Linked DNA regions of Cricetulus griseus. The main gene of each other region encodes a partner of the protein of the gene in region 2 in a complex. Links are inferred from orthologs where the notes say so. Each region holds a gene or a part of one and is shown on either strand. Other genes may lie near its edges.

Region 1 (5,513 bases), on a different chromosome or scaffold from region 2:
ATCAGTGTGAGGAAGGGAGGATGCGCTGAAGTGGAATTCTGAGCCGAGGAAAGCAATGCCAAGTTTTAGGGGAGTTGTTGAGCAGGGTTGAGAATAGTTGCAGAGTGCATCAGAGCTCGAGGCGGAGGTACACAGATGAGGTCCCAGGGTGCCCACACTGAGACTGACAATTCAGAGGCCAGTGGAAGCATATTGTTTACTCTCTCCTACTCTTAAGAACCTAGCTCCAGGTGGCGAGAATTGGTAAGTAGGGAGAGGTTTTTTTTCCCACACCAAGCAATTTTCCAACTCATGGACATCAACTTGATGTGGCTGACACACTCAGTTACACTCCATCGGAGAAAACTGATTTTCCCTTTCCAACAGGCATCAGTTGCAAATAGCCTCTTGATTAGGGTGGAACTTTGTGCTCACTTCTTCCTCTTAGTGCCCCGATTTTGTCTGGTTTGAGCTTGTGCAGGTGTTGTTCATGCTGTCACAATCTCTGTGAGTGCATCAGTGTCTTAAATCATGTTGTGTCTGCCAGACACTGTTTCCTTGGAATCATCTATCACCCCTGGCTCTTGGAATAGTTCTGCCTCCTCTTCCAGGTAGTTCCTTGAGCCTTGAGGAGAGGGGTTTAATAACGCCATCCCATTTAGGGTTGAGTGCTCCCAAATCTCTCACACTCCACACGTGGTCCAGCTGTGGGTCTCTGTGTTAGTCTCCATCGACCACAAGAAGCTTCTCTGACGAGGGCTGTGATGCTCTCAACTATGTGTATAGCAGTATTTCATTTTAATATCCAATAATTTAATTATAAAACAGGAGTCGTTTTATTGCTATGTTATCTGCCTATCTACCTTCTACCTTAGGAGTTGCAGCCTGTGCCAAGAGAGGAGCAACCCACCAGGAAGTGCCTATTAAGAGCTGCTGTATGATCCCAGCAAGGAGAACTGGTGTGATTGATCCTCCCAGAGGGAGCCATGTTAGCAATAGCTCCAAGGCACACACACTCCAGCTGCGGCCTTAGCAGGGGGCTGTGGGAGGATGCGGTTAAGGGAAAGCCTCCAGAAATAAAAAGCCCTGGTGCATAAACCTGAAGTAGGTGTGTGTGCCTATCGACAGAGCAGTGTGGTCCTTCACAGGACTTCTATTGTGTGAGGATCAGTTTAAGTTCATACACAAAACACTTTGAATATATGATTGATGCTTGATAAAGGGTCGCTGCCTTATTAATATTTACTTGTAGGGGCTCCGTCCATGTACAATATCCAGTTAAGGTGGGTGGATTGCGTTGTGTAGCAACACACGCGGCAAAAAGAGGTGGAAGGATAGGGCCATGTCGATGCTGGTCTATAACCCTGCACTTGGGATGCGGAATCAGTGGTTTGAGGCCAGCCTTAGATATATAGAGGCTAGCCTGGACCCTTCTTTTTAAAAAGGAGGGAGTAAGAGGTTCGAGGAGGAAAGGGATTGGTTGAGGTGGGCCTTTAAGTAGATTATTACATAGAGGTTTGGGAAAGCTAGACGTAGCTGGGGACAGGAGTAGAGCTTCCTCTATGCTTCCCTGCCCTCCCTCTCTCACGCCCCCCTCCCCGCCCTTCCTCCCACCTTCTCTCCCTCCCTCCCCTGCTAGCTCCACCCCTGCGTGTACTAAGAGTCCAGCAAGAGTACTGGTCTGTAAGCCCCCTATCTCTTCTGAGCTCCTGGAGTCCCTTGCCCTGGCTCGGTACTGTGCGTAAGCGGTGCGGGATTCAGTAGAGCGGGACCCCGGCGAGGGGAGGGGCGGAGCATGGGAACTCAGTGAGCTCTGGGCTGCGGGGCGGGGCGGGGCGGGGCCGGGGAAGTTCGTGGCCACTGAGGGCTGGGCTGGCCACGGTGAAACCGTAAAAGGCTGAGGCGGGCGGGGTGGGTGTGGCCGTGCGGGTGAGCGGAGCCCTGGTCCGGGGCCCCCGCAGTCTCCCGCAGCCTCCCAGCCATGGGCGCCGTCTGGTCCGCTCTCCTGGTCGGCGGGTGTCTGGCGGCAGCGCTTATCCTGTGGCTGCTGCGGGGCGACCCTGGGGTCCCGGGGCAAGACGGGGGTGCGGAGCCGCAGAAAGACGCACCTCCAGGGGAGGCTGCGACTCCGGGAGGCGGTCCGGGTGGCTGTGGCGGCCTGAGCCCTGAACGTTCCGAGCGGGTGCTGGTCTCCAAATCAGGTATTCTTCCTCCCCGGGGCTCGGGGCAGACGTGACCGGTGTTTCGGAGTTCCCTGGGGAAGGGGGGATGAAAGCCACCTGAAGTTCTCCAGGTGGATCGTGGTGGACCAACTTCCTCCACCTGGGACGGAACCCTCCTCGGGCCCCCTCCCAGGCTGTACTGTCCTGGAGAAGCCACGCGGGTCCTCTAGAGGCCGCGCCCTGCTCCTGCTGCTCCGGGCCGGCACCGGCTCCTCCGCCCGGCGCACTTGGCGGCGCTTGGCGCAGCGCGCGAGGCTGGTTTGGGGGGCATCTCACAACTCTATAGTCTCGATGAAGCTGGGAGGGGCATCCTCTGAATCTTCGCCCCCCTAGCTTCAAGCCCTGACACCCCACACCCCTTCTTAGATCTGAGTTTGGGGCTGGCGAGCGTTGAGCACTCGCTTGCTACTGTCTGGACAATTCTTTCAGAAAAGTAAAATTCAGCTGAGACATGGGTCATGAAGCTGGGAACCCACTGAAGCTGGGAACCAAACGCTGATAAGAATTGTCATGTAAGTTTAGAGCTACGTTCTAGAGACCCCGCACCAGGCAACCAGTGTGCACTGGCACGAAGCCTTACCTTCCTGTGCCCTTTAGCAGGTTGCCGTTGCCTGGCAGAACTTATTTTTAGTGGTGGTCATTTGTAGTTACGTGAGAATCTTTCCCACGGCTGAATTTTGATAAACAGTTCATCTGTTTCCTTGTCTCTGAAGGCCAGCCTCATGTTTTATTTGGGGAATTGAGATTTGTTGCCATCGGACTCCGAAATTCACCATTAAAAAGAGGCAAAATGAAGCAAGAGTGCCCCCAGCTCCTGCACCAAGTGTAGAAATTCAGGTTTTGAGAGCTATTTAGGTAGCCAGGAAAGAAACCAAGTCTTTGGGCGACTTTGTGGACTTTTAAGAACAATCTTTAAAGTGTGTATGGTATGTGTGTGTGTGGGGGGGACCTCATGTGTCTTTGAAGAGATTTCTCTCCCCTCAAGTTCCCCCACCCCCACCCCAACTCTACTCACACTGACCACTCTGCCTTCCAGAGCTGACCCCTGTCCTGCACTCACTTCCAGGGAGTACAGGGCCGGGTAACATGCAGTCCTTTGTCCCACAGAAGCCACAGTGTTTGTGTCTGGGCCTGCTAAGCTCCTGTCCCAACCCACCCCCCAGCATTTTTTTTTTTTTTTTTTTAATGACAGGAGCCAAGTGACTTAACTTTGGATCCCTGCCAACTTGGTCTGGCCTGTGGGAGACTTTGCAACTTGCAACTTCATTGTCTCTCACACTGAGTGTGTTTTGGTTGTTGGCTCTACACGCAAAGAGCCGGGTTGGGAAGGTGCAAATAGACACTTGATTTCTACAGGAGCTTGGCCTACAGGTAGAATCGGATGTTTTTCTCAGTCTCCCTTTGTGAAACCAGCTAATGTTGCTAAACTTTCCTTTCTCAGAACAGCTTCAAGAAAGCAATGGACATTTGATTTCTGAGCCTAAAGATCTTGGTAACCTGCAGGGAGCACAGAGACTTCAGAATGCTGGAGCAGACTGGAGCAATGCCAGAGATTGTGTTCCTGTTGGAAAGAGTCTGGACACGCACTCCAGGGCCAATCCAGAAGTGTCAAGGAATCAAAGCCCACAAGTTCATATAGGAGAATGGAGTCCCTGCAAAGGACAAGAAACAGCTGGGAGCATGGCAGAGAAGCTGTCCTCCAGCAGCCTACTCAGGGACAGAGCTAAAGCAGCCAGCCTTGCACAATCGGTCAGTCAGGACCTGGCAGGCCACGAGGACTGGGAAGTGGTGTCTAGGCACTCATCTTGGGGGGATGTTGGTTTGGGTGGCAGTCTTGAGGGCCTGAGTCAGGGAATGAATGATGGCAGAAGTACTCTTGTGGGAGGAAGAGGCTGGGAAGCAGATGGGAAGGCGACATCCCCTCAGCAGGTCAACATCCAGTTCAAGGTACACTACACCACAAGCACCGATGTGCAGTTCATTGCAGTAACGGGAGACCATGAGAATCTTGGGGGATGGACCAGATACATCCCACTCCACTATTGTAAGGATGGGCTGTGGTCTCATTCTGTCTTCCTGCCTGCGGACACGGTGGTGGAATGGAAGTTTGTGTTGGTTGAGAACAGGGAAGTTACTCGCTGGGAAGAATGCAGCAACAGACTCCTGCAGACTGGCCATGAGGATAAGGTGGTTCATGGGTGGTGGGGGATTCACTGACTCACAGTGCAAAGCATCCTAGCGAGAGGCTGAGTCAGAATGTGGAAGAGGCTAAGGCTGTAGAGCACACTGCATAATTTAAAGGCAGTGTGAACCCATTTGTAGCCATCAGAGTTCTTTCAGAGTTGTTAGTGTGGCTTTTGTCCAAAATGTAGGAAGATTTATGCATGCCCATGATGCTTCCTCTGAGCTGGGACTTTTCCCTTATTGCACTGACTGGTTTGTGCTGACACATCATCACTTGAGGGGTTGATGGTCCCTTGAGGGGTAGTTGGCTTGGCTAAGACTGAGGTATGGACTATGGGCAAGGAGAAACTAACCAACTGCACAAGTACAAGGTAGAGCCTGTAGCTCTTAGAATAGGGAGATGGCAGTTAAGTCTCATTAAATACAGCTAAAGCAACATGTTTACATTTTAAAATGACACCATATTGGAACTGTGACCAGTCAGGACTGGAGTGACACTCAGAGACTCCCCATTAGTTTTTGTTCCATTATTAGTGCTGAGGATAGGTGTGGAGTTAGCAGGGGTGTCTTTGTTTTAATGCCCTAATCAGCATTGGTCATCCAAGAAGTGGAGGGAGTGGGATGGGTGAGAGATGGTGAGGAGGCTTGAAAGGTATACTGTACACCTTTGAGAACTGGGAGTACAGTGCTTACGGGTCCTTGCCTGGCTCCAGCAAGGGTATATGTACCCTTTACCCACAGCGTCCTGCCAGACTGTCTCTGTCCACTTCCCCCACCCCATTCCTACCAACAGATGGGCTGCCCTGGGGAAGTTTTTTCCATCTGTCACCTCTTCACTCCCCTTTCATACCAGTGAGTGAAAATCTACATAGGACCATGATAAGGAAGACTATCTTTACTCAGAGAAGGAATAATTATTAAGTTATAACTGAATAATAAATCCTGAGTGTAATATCTTTATAAAATGTCTGAATTATTCGTTTCAATTTTAGCACCATAACTAGATACAAAGTAATGGTGTAGTATTTGACATATAGAGAAAAGCAAACATCAAGCATTATAGCAAATGACATACGGAGTCTATTTTTTTCCTTTTGGAGAAAGTTTTAAATATTTCCTAAAACTTTG
Region 2 (5,329 bases):
CCCCTGCTCTTAACCATTGAACCATCTCTCCAGCTCCCAATACATTTTGTATTTTTACGTAAACTACTAGCATTTAGAAAACCCTCATCAATTATTAGCTAATATTGCATTTTTTATTTTTCATGCTATTAAATACATTGTCACTGGGCTGAAGAATTAACTGCCCTTCAATTAACTGAGATATACATATCTATAAAAGAACTGAAAGTCACTCAGAAAATAACAATATTACTATTTTAATCCCCGGGTTCATCTTACCTGATTGTAAAGTTTTCTTCTGAAAGATTTAATTGTATTTGAATCAAAGGTAAAATGATGAACGGGGCATTAAACTAGTTTCAAGTTGAAAATAAAGCCTGAAAATTATTAATATAAACATAATGATGTGATGCATTACCTCACTGATCTTTATATGTAGGGGCGATTCAAAGATTCCTGGAGAAAAACAAGAAAGTTGGCTATGCATTTCATTTTGTTTTGGTATTTAAGTTTTAAGTTTAGCTTATTTTATTTTCTGGGCTTTTTGTCTGTTTGGTTTTTGTTGTTGTTGTTTTTCGAGACAGGGTTTCTCTGTGGCTTTGGAGGCTGTCCTGGTACTAGCTCTTGTAGATAAAAGGCGTGCTCCACCAACTGCCTGGCTATTTTCTGGTCTTTTAAAGGCCAAGCCACTGAGAGTAATTTGAAAGGCAGAAGAAGAAGAAGAAGAAGAAGAAGAAGAAGAAGAAGAAGAAGAAGAAGAAGAAGAAGAAGAAGAAGAAGAAGAAGAAGAAGAAAGCCGGCAACAAGGGCTGCTTGGCTGCTTGGCTTTAGAAGTCATTCTATTTGCACAGCACAAAGCATCCTCGAACCCCTACCTTTACCATTTCTAATGCTCCCCAAATACAGGTCTGGAGAGTCACTGTCAGTAGGATCAGTATTCTGACCCAGCATCCAAAGATTCCCAGTAGGAAACCCGATATGCCAGAGGGACCTGGGCCATCCGACCCCGGCTGTGCGGCTTAGGGTCTTCCACTAGGGTGACAGCCAGAGCTTTTGGTTCCCATGAGGCCTTTTCATCAGGACAACTCTCCAGCAGATGGTACCAATTCCCCAGGAAAGTAATGTTGGTCGTCACCTAAACTGCTTGATCTCTGTATGTTTAAGAACCCAGGACCACACTTCTGGGTGAACAGGACAAAGTGAATGGAATCATCTCCCTTTCAAACGTGCATGAAGCCCGGTGTTCATGGCTGGCATCTCCTCTTCTAACCTTGATGACCTCATGCTTTTTCACCCTTACACCTCTGCAAAATCCCTGAGTCACGCACTGTTTATGTTGTCTCAGTACCAGCTCCAGCACAGATCCAAAGGAAAGGACGCCAGAGTAGGGAGGAGGAGCTGGGGTGGAGAAGCCAGGCCAGCCACGGGTGCCAGGCAAAGGTCAAAATGCAAGCACAGGACATTTCAGCGTGGGCTACAGATCTCGTGATGCCTGGCACTTTTCCACCACCAGACGCCTGATCCCATTGCTCTGGAAACAGCTGGATTTTCTTCCTGTGTGTTTGTTTTGGGCACCAAGCAAGAAACATGAAGGGGAGTGAAGAAGACATTTGTTAGAGCATTCTTGGGGTTAAAAGACATCTTTAATATCAAATCACAACAATAAAAGACAAGACACAGAGTTTTTATTTTCTAGAGTGATTTAGGAAAGCTTAAGCGTAATGGGCACACACACACAAATAATCGATGTTTCTGTCCACCCCCATCCAGCAGATCCTGCGCGCCGGGGGCGGGGTGGGGCGGGGCCTCGTGATGTCACAACACCGCCCTGGTGTTTTTGTGTTCCCAGCTCTTGGGAAAAGCCACCCGATTTCTTTACCTGGTGGTCCTTTACCTTCGGGCGGGGAGATCCCCAGGTCCCTCTCTTGGACGTCTGGCCACGTAGTGCGGTGACGGGCGTGTGGGGGCTGACGCGGGCGGAGCGATTGTGATAAGGTTGACATTGACCCGGGGGCGGCCAGAAGCGAGACGCAGTCACCAGCGCGCGCAGCAGGCCCCGTCCGGGGAGCCCCCCAACCTGCGGTCCATCATGAAGTTCCAGTATAAAGAGGACCATCCCTTCGAATATCGGAAAAAGGAAGGTGAAAAGATTAGGAAGAAATACCCGGACCGGGTGCCGGTGAGTGGGGGCGGGGAGGGGGAGAGCGAGCAGGGAAATTCGGGAGCCGGTTGCCCCGGAGCGCTGGAGGGTGGCCCTGGAGCAGGGGGGTCCCCGGAATCCCATAATCCTGGCCGGCTCTGACAAACCCATATTGCCAGGACCAGTGCCCACCTCTGGCATCCGGGGTGACTCAGCGGATTCAGCTCCCGCGGAGGTGGGGAATGTGCGCGTGGCGCGGCCTGTGTGTGCGGGAGCCGCTGCTTGGGGGCCCCAGATGGGACGCGCTTGTAGACCACGCAGCGCATCCCCGGAGTGGCAGGTGCGGTGGTGGTGAGCCTTGGGCCCATCCATGTCTGCCTAAAGAATCCGGGTTCCGTCCTCATTTCCTTGAGCGCATTGGGGGAAAAACTTGAGAAGTCAGTAGATTCTGCGCTGCGTTTTCTTAGAATTTAAGAGGCGGCGGCGGAGAACCCCCACCAGGCGGGCCCGCAAACAAGGTCACTCTGCGCCACAGTCAGCTTGCTTCATCATCATCACTGCCTCCCTGGCCATGTGGTGCTAAAGAGGACCTTGCCCTGCACTGCTGATGTGTTGGGCCTTGGACCCCAAGGGCGAGGACTGAGAACCTTTTCCTCCGCGAATTGTACCCCGATTTAAACGGCTAAAACCTATTTGATGCAGTGAGGAGAAAAATAATAAGGGAGTCTTCTTCAGCATCCGGGTGTTTTTCCCTTTGCCCCCCCTCCCCCCGCCCACTTGCCTGATTTTTTTTTTTTTTTCTTCTCTTTTAAAGGCTGCGCAGCAGAATTGGAAGCCGAGGACGACATTACTGTTAGATATGGTAGCTAGAGGAGAAGGGACTTTTAAAGTCGTTCTCTTTATCTGTACAGGCAATGATGTTAGATTAGCATTACTCATAGCTTTAATGGGTAAACGAGCCGGACTTACCTAATAATTTTTCTTGATGCATAAGTACTGTTCGTGGTGGTGGTGGTGGTGAGGGGGGGTTTCCTCGGTCCTCTCAGCTATGGCTAGCAGAAGAAATGTAGGCTCAACTGGGAAAAGTCCTCATCCCCATTTCCTGTTAGGAAGGGGAGAGTTAACTATTCCACTGTATGCACCAGGGTCTTTAGGGAAAGGCTGGAAACACGCTAGTCATTTCTTCTTAGCACGCAGTCCTGCACATATTACTTCCATGGAGGATTGTCTTGGATTTGTCACCCCCCCTTCATATTTTAAAATGACACATGGCCCACAGAGCTGGCAGCACTCTGAATGCCTTGTCTGCCTATTCACTGACTCGACTCACACCATTAAAATCTAGGTGCTACAGACATAAGCCTGCAGTACTGGGGAGTGAAGTCCCCACCCAAAGGTGGGGTCTGACAGTGCTAGCTGCCAGAGAGGGATTTCAGCCTGGCTGCCATGCTTTGGGCTTCCAGAGCCCTTGACCTTTAGGTTGTCCCCTTTCCCAGTTTGTGTAGTCCAGTTCGATTAACCAGAATTAAGTGTTACACCTTACATAGGTGAGTCCTGGAAGTAGGTTAAGTCTTGCTGCCATCTGGAGTTCAGCTGGTAGACCAGTGCCAGCCAGGAAACTTAAGTGAATGTCTACCCGTTACTCAGAACTTTAACAGAAACACAAGCTGCGGTGTCCGTCTTCAGATTCAGTTAAAACCTCTATAGTTTCTCAAATGAGCCTCTCTCATTCGCTTGGTTACAGCACTCACCCAGGATATTTTAGTTTCTCCTTATTCTTCTCCTGCTTATGACTTGATGTTGAATGTTTTATTTCAGTGATAATTTATAAGCTAAGAAAGATCACTGGGATCTCATGGATCCTCAACTTGAGAGATTCTCCACTTATGGCTCTTACCCTGTTTGTGACAGAAGAGCTCTGCTAAATGGCAGAGATTTGGGTTGGGGGCAGCATTGGGCATGGAGCCCTTTGCCCAGTGGTCCCTCTATCACTGGGTATACCCTTATCCTCAGCGATGTGGTTTTGTTTCAGCCTTGTAACCTGAGTTCCTGTACCTTGGGCACAGAACTGAATCTTACTATGTCCAGGTGTTTACAGGAAAGCCACTAAGTGTCTAAGGCAGTCTGACTCACAACTTAAGCTTAGCCTCAGAAGAGGTATGTGTGGGCCTTGGGAGAGGGGATCATGGGATCTTGAAATAACAGTGTGTTGGAAACCTGTAATAGCAGGAACTGCTGGACACACTATTTTTAAACATTTGTAAACAGCCCTATGGCGTATGAGCCACCTGCCACAGATGGAGAAAACAGTTTTCTCTATTCTTGGAGGAAGCTGCCAGGTCTCAGAGTCCCTGTGGTAAATACCAGGGCTCCCCCTGTTTCCTGTGCTCTGCCGTGTATAGCCTGCCTTTTCTCCTTACTTTTTTTTTTTTTTTGTCCATTACTAATCTCCTTTTCGAACTCTTTTCTACTTAATTTGAATGTTTGGATTCACCTCTGTCTACCCAGGCATTTACATGTATTTATTCATATGGTCTTTTGGGGGTGCTGCTTGTTCAGAAGCCCAGAGAGGTCACAGACATCCTGAAGGTCACACAGCTTCTAGGGAGACTTGTCCAGTGTCTGTTTCTGCTTCTTCACTTTTTGGTAGTTCCCATTTCTCATATCTAAGATGCGCTCTTCAAAACAAAGAATCTAATGTTAATATTCTTGCAATGTATTTTCTATTTTCTAAGTAAATATATAAACATCTACCTAAGAGTCCAGGCGGTGGTGGCACACGCTTTTAATCCCAGCACCTGGGAGGCAAAGACAATCAACTCTCAGTGAGTTCAAGACCAGCCTGGTCTACAGAGTGAGTTCCAGGACAGCCAGGACTGTTACACAGAGAAACCCTGTCTCAAAAAACAAACAAAAAATCCCAAGATTTTATGTGTATTTTTCATTACAAAAATGAAAATTCTTTAAAAATGTTACTAAAAATATTTAATGTAGATACTGAAAGTCCCTTAAAATCCTAACATAGTTAATAATGTTGAATAATTCAGTGCCCTCATAAAGTGCCATAGTTTTCACTTAGTGGTGAACACTTTTTTTTACAAAGATTGAAATCTGAGCCACATTGCCCGTGTTTATTAGCTGTCACTGTGGCAGTGTCTGAGACAGTCAACTTGAAGGCTGTGCACATGTGAGTGGCCGTGTGTGTGATTG
Region 3 (5,279 bases), on a different chromosome or scaffold from region 2:
TGTCTCTCTTGACAAAATATTCACCCTTTCTTCCATAAATACTTATAAAATGAGAAAAATGAAAAAACCCATCATGATCATGCCTAAGATGCTGGCAATTTTTTAATCAAATGCCTATTGTTAAAATCCATTTGATTTTAGCCGGGCAGTGGTGGCACACATCTGTAATACCAGTGCTTGGGAGGCAGAGGCAGGCATGATCTCTGTGAGTTCGAAGCCAGCCTGGTGTACAATGCCAGTTCCAGGACAGCCAAGGCTGTTACACAGAGAAACCCTGTCTTGAAACACCCCCACCCCAAAAAAAACAACCTATTTGATTTAAGGAAAGACTTTGCTTACTGGTTAACTGTGACTTTAGGAAAAAAATAGTGTAAGTTGTTTAAAGCTACAAGCAATAGACACTGGCAAAAAAATGTCACCTCTTAAAATATTCATCTCATTTTCAATCTGCATGTAGAAAGAGCCATATTCGGGTCAACAAACAAGAAATGAACTTGAGTCCTAGATGTTTCCAATGTCAAAGAAGGGAGCCAATAGGGTGCAAACACTTGGGTCCCAGATACAGCTCCACCACAAGATTGGCTGTGCAACTGTGAGCAAGACTGTTTATCTTTGAGCTTCACTCATTTAATATGTAAAACAAAGACTATTCTGCTGACAGTAACAATGTTATCAAAGGGATCTAATAAAACCTTGGTCTAGGGACAGGGAGTAAGGAACCAGTCCACATATGTGCAAAGATAAGGGGCCATTTCCAGTACCACAAAGTATGTAGGATTCTTTCAAATAGTATTCAAATATGAAAATTATTACCATAAGAAACAATTCCTTAGGTCCTTAAGATAGCTTCTACCTTGCTATTATAACTTTGTTTTGGGTGGAGAGAGACAGGGTTTCACTCTGTAGCCCATGCTGGCCTGGGGATTGCTATGTATGTAGACCAGAGAATTGTCCGCATCTGCCTCCAGAGTTCAGCACTGTGGATACAACTGTACAACTGTCATTTTAAGAACCTTGTACTTTTTTTTTTTTTTTTTTTTTTGGTTTTTCAAGACAGGGTTTCTCTGTGGCTTTGGAGACTGTCTTGGAACTAGCTCTTGTACACCAGGCTGGCCTCAAACTCACAGATCTGCCTGCCTCTGACTCCCAAGTGCTGGGATTAAAGGCATGTGTCACTGCCACCCAAGAACCTAGTATTCTTAATCACAGATTATTTTAGAGACTCAATTATCCAATTTTTTCCATGACTTGTCTTCATCTAGAGTTAAGTTCACTGTCAAAGCTATAGTCTCTAGCATCAATCCTGTGGACATCCTGCATTCATACATTTACCCAAAATGCAATTCTTCCTTAGGATCTTTAAAATTTAGGCAGAATCCCACCAACCCTAGGTTTTTGTTTGTTTGTTTGTTTGTTTGTTTTTGTTTGTTTTTAATAAGGAAAATGAAGTGACTGAGTTTGCCAAAAGAAAAAATTCTGAGGTTGGGCTGGAGAGATGACTCAGTGGTTAAGAACGCTGACTGCTCTTCCAGAGGACCCGGGTTCAATTCCTAGCATCCACATGGCTTCTCATAACTGTGACTCCAGTTCCAAACACCAATGCACACAAAATAAAGATAATTAAAAAAGAAAAAATTCCCAAATACACTCGCACTTTCCAACTTCAAGAAATACACTTCCACACAGTTCTGTCTGGAAGGAAACTAATCTTCCCTGTTCTCAAATGACAGGAGTGGGAATTAGTTTCCATACTTTGGAGTTCATCCAGCTGCTCTGTCAATGTGAGAAAACAGGAAGCGAGAGTCTAGTTTATCTAGCCAATATTCAGGTCTTCATAAAGGCCGGACCTCACTGTGACTTACGTGTGAAAATTCTTTCAGGCAGAACATTAATGTTGAACTTGTGAAAATATCAAAGGTACAGTTAACCCCACATATTACCTATTGTTTTGCAGCCAGCGGTCAGGTGGCCGGGCCTAAGCCTGCAGCTTTCCTAAGTGGCACTGTAAACGCATGCCTCATTGACTCACACTCATGTGACAAAGTCAGCTTTTCCCCATAGGATGTTTTTCCAACGTCGACAAATAATATTAATATAGGGAATCTCGGAATCTGAACTCTATTGTGTCTACCAGAGGTTTAAAGCCGCCTAAGCTTTAAAATGGGTGATCTGAAAGCTGGGTGCTTGACAAAAAGGGAAAACGATGCCTCTCTAAACACGGAAGGTTCTAGATCAAGATACCTTCAATAGAGTCTCAAAAAGAGGAAAGCTCAGAATGAGGAAGATGTGTGTCCCTTCTTCTCACACACTTAGTCCTAGTCTTCCAGCAATCGTTTCCTGGAACTCCATGTCCCCGGGACAGTGAGTGTCACCACCACCGGAGGCCCCTCTTTTGGTACTGGGGGATTTCGACTTTCTCTTAGCAGAAACTGGCCTTTCTAAGCCATGAAGACTCTCCCTCAAGCAGAATCCACACCCCACTGTCGCTGACAACCCAAGCGGCTCTCTCATCTGGTCCCTGAAAGGACTGGCTGCCCTGAACACGGAAAAAAGTCACTGCTCTTTTCAAGATTCTCCTTGAACTTCCCCGAGACCTCTAAGAACGACGTGACCCCACTCGTAGGTAACAGCGGCGGCCTCCTTACCAGCTTTCCGCCCCCGGGGGGCGCTTGCCCGTGGCCAGTGCAAGGACCGTTCGCTGCCAGCTCGGCTGCTATCCCTGCGGGGTGAATCTAACATGGCGGACAGAGACCGGGCCCAGTCCCATGTTTCTCTGAGTTTCCGACAAAACGATTGGTTCTAACTATTTGTCCCTCAAAACCACCGCTGCACCGATTGGCCAATGCTGCGTCGGCAGGGGCGGGACAGAAGCTGTCTGAACCGCACAACAATAACAAACACCCAGGCCGAGGGGCGGAACTAGTGCGTAGATGTCAGCGGAGCGGATTTCCCGTTCCCGAGCCCATTGGCCGCCCTCTGCTTTCCCTGAGGTCACTGACCTTGGAGAACTAGTTACCCGAGAATCGCGGGGCTGGATGGGAATTGTAGTATTCCTGGGACTTGCAGCTTCTTTCAGTCTAGTCTCTGTGAGCAAGACATGAAAACAGAACGCTGCGATGTACTGCAGCTGACCTGCATAACCGCGAGGAGGTTTCCGCCGTACTAACTAGGTTGTTGTGGTAATCGCGCCAGCTTCCGGTGTTGGAAGCGCCTCTCCCTTAAGACTACAGTTTCCAAGGGACGCGGTGGAGAAGTCCTTTCGTCCCGCAATGCATGCTGGAATTGGTAGTTCTTTTTACATAATCCTTTCTTTACCTAAACTGGAGACTTCCATGGCAGGAAGACTAAGGGAGGGATGAGGACTCTGCAACTGCTTTGTTCACTACCTTGCGCTCATCTTCCGGCCTTGGGTAGCGATCCCGACCCTTTGTACACAATTACTGTGACGTAATAAGCAAGCGTAGATGCGAGGGGGCGGCTGCCTAATAGGAAACTCAAAATTCTTTCTCTTCCGTCTCTTTCTAGTTACGACACACAAGGAGAGACCAGGTGGCCAATCCTGAGCCCGGAAAGAGTGTCCACCTCTTTTTTTTCCTCTCCCTTCCGCTGACGTGTCTGGATCTTGTGTTCCTAGAGGCCGGCGCTAGCCGCCAAGCGGCCGGTTTCCTAGGCGACCGGGAGCGCGGGAATTACAGATAAATTGTCATTGCGGCTGCGCGGCGGGCGCCGGTGCCGCGGCGGGACCTAGTGCTTTCCGAGCGGCTTTCCCGGGATTTGGGCCAAGGGGCTGGGGAGCACGGACGTTTTGCTCGGGGTGAAGGTGAGACAGCTCTGAGGAACCTAGCGGTAGTCGAGTGAAGGGCGGGAAACTGCAGGCGGAGACAGGTGTTTACCAGGTAGGAGAATGCCCGGGGCGGGACCAAACTGAAAGGACTCCTGGGGGGTGCAGCTGTGCGGAAGAAGGCTAGGGAGGAAAGAAGGGGCGTCCTGGCTGTGGTCGTGCCGAGAAGGCAGTGTAAGCATGGTGGCTGAAGGATGAGAGGAAAGGAGGGCGGAAGTGTGGCAGGGAAATCCATGTATATTTCACGCAAAGGAATGCCAATAGTAGTAATGAATGCTGTCGGCAGGGGTACTTGTTCAAAGACTGCCTTGAGGCTAAGTGCCAGAAGGGGGAGGGTGGAGAAGCGTCAGCAGTGTTAGTGTGTTAGTGTTTGCATTTGGTGACTTAAAAAAAAAGTGCGTTTCTTTCCATTTGTTTGTTTTGGTTTTAGTTTTGTTTTTTTTTAATTTATTTATTTATTTATTAGTTCTAGTTAGGGAACAAGCTTGTTTCACATGTAAGTCCCTTCTCCCTCTCCCTCCCCTCACCCCATCCCTCCTCCCCCACCCCCAGCCTACCCCCACCCCATCCACCCACCACTCCCCAGGCAGGGTAGGGCCCTCAACAGGGGCTCTGCAAAGTCCACCAAATCTTCCTGTGCTGGTCCTGGGCCCTTCCCCATGTGTCCAGGGCCAGAGTGTAACCCTTCACGTGGGATGGGCTCTCAAAGTCCCTTCTTGCACCAGGGAAAAATACTAATCCACCACCAGAGGCTCCCTGGAGTGCAGAGGCCTCCTTATTGACATCCATGTTCAGGGGTCTGGATCAGTCTTGTACTGGCCTCCCCGACAGCATCTGGGGTCGATGTGCTCTCCCTTGTTCAGGCCAATTGTTCCTGTGGGTTTCTCCAACCTGGTACAGACCCCTTCCTTCTTCATTCCTCCCTCTCTTCAACTAAATTCCCGATTTCAGCTCAGTGTATATCTGTGGATGTCTGTCTCTGCTTCCATCAGCTGAAGGAACCGGCTTCCCTTTTGGCAGCCATAACAGCCGAACACGTGCTTGCCATAAACCTGCCTTGGTCAATTAGAGGTCAGATGCCTGTCTCGTGACAAGGAACCTTAGTCACTAAAAGGTCAGATGCCTTGTGACAAGGAGCCAATCAGAAGTTACCTGGTGGCACTTTACGACCCTGGGTGTGCTTTACGGACAAGCGCACGACAATGACGTAGAGAGCATAGCAACCACCCTGGGAGGGCCTATGAGCCATAACAACCAGTTGACCAATCAACACAGGGCAAGCCCTCCAAGCCTGGAAGCACACCAATCATGAGCCTGTGCGTAAGCCTGTGCGTACCCCTAGACACTCCCCTTACGCTGCCCTATAAGATCTTTTGGGAGACCCAAGGAGCCGTCTTTTCTAGCCGTCCGCCATGGCGGGTGGGTGAAAGACCCGAGC

What was found.
Region 1: the proteins of Gabarapl1 (region 2) and starch-binding domain-containing protein 1-like are in contact, whole or in part, in a crystal structure (PDB 8X8A), measured with the Homo sapiens proteins. The link is inferred for Cricetulus griseus from reciprocal best matches to the Homo sapiens genes GABARAPL1 and STBD1. Residues at the interface, in NP_113600.1 of Homo sapiens: Glu17, Ile21, Tyr25, Asp27, Arg28, Pro30, Val31, Ile32, Lys46, Lys48, Tyr49, Leu50, Val51, Pro52, Asp54, Leu55, Gly58, Gln59, Phe62, Leu63, Arg67, Phe104; in NP_003934.1 of Homo sapiens: Glu201, Glu202, Trp203, Glu204, Met205, Val206, Pro207, Arg208, His209, Ser210, Gly213.
Region 3: the proteins of Gabarapl1 (region 2) and Nbr1 are in contact, whole or in part, in an NMR structure (PDB 2L8J), measured with the Homo sapiens proteins. The link is inferred for Cricetulus griseus from reciprocal best matches to the Homo sapiens genes GABARAPL1 and NBR1. Residues at the interface, in NP_113600.1 of Homo sapiens: Glu12, Tyr13, Lys16, Glu17, Lys20, Ile21, Lys24, Tyr25, Arg28, Pro30, Lys48, Tyr49, Leu50, Val51, Pro52, Phe104; in NP_005890.2 of Homo sapiens: Ser729, Glu730, Asp731, Tyr732, Ile733, Ile734, Ile735, Leu736.

What each region holds. Positions count from the first base shown.
Region 1 is NW_023276807.1:157,352,380-157,357,892, forward strand, and holds the start of starch-binding domain-containing protein 1-like, read left to right. Parts: upstream 1-1,896; 5' UTR 1,897-1,960; coding exon 1,961-2,180; intron 2,181-3,642; coding exon 3,643-4,418; 3' UTR 4,419-5,513. UniProt on the Homo sapiens protein: Acts as a cargo receptor for glycogen. Delivers its cargo to an autophagic pathway called glycophagy, resulting in the transport of glycogen to lysosomes.
Region 2 is NC_048601.1:16,532,700-16,538,028, reverse strand, and holds the start of Gabarapl1 (gamma-aminobutyric acid receptor-associated protein-like 1), read left to right. Parts: upstream 1-1,799; 5' UTR 1,800-2,068; coding exon 2,069-2,158; intron 2,159-5,329. UniProt on the Homo sapiens protein: Ubiquitin-like modifier that increases cell-surface expression of kappa-type opioid receptor through facilitating anterograde intracellular trafficking of the receptor. Involved in formation of autophagosomal vacuoles.
Region 3 is NC_048600.1:114,591,872-114,597,150, reverse strand, and holds the start of Nbr1 (next to BRCA1 gene 1 protein), read right to left. Parts: upstream 3,404-5,279; 5' UTR 3,000-3,403; intron 2,798-2,999; exon of another isoform or gene 2,646-2,797; intron 1-2,645. UniProt on the Homo sapiens protein: Ubiquitin-binding autophagy adapter that participates in different processes including host defense or intracellular homeostasis.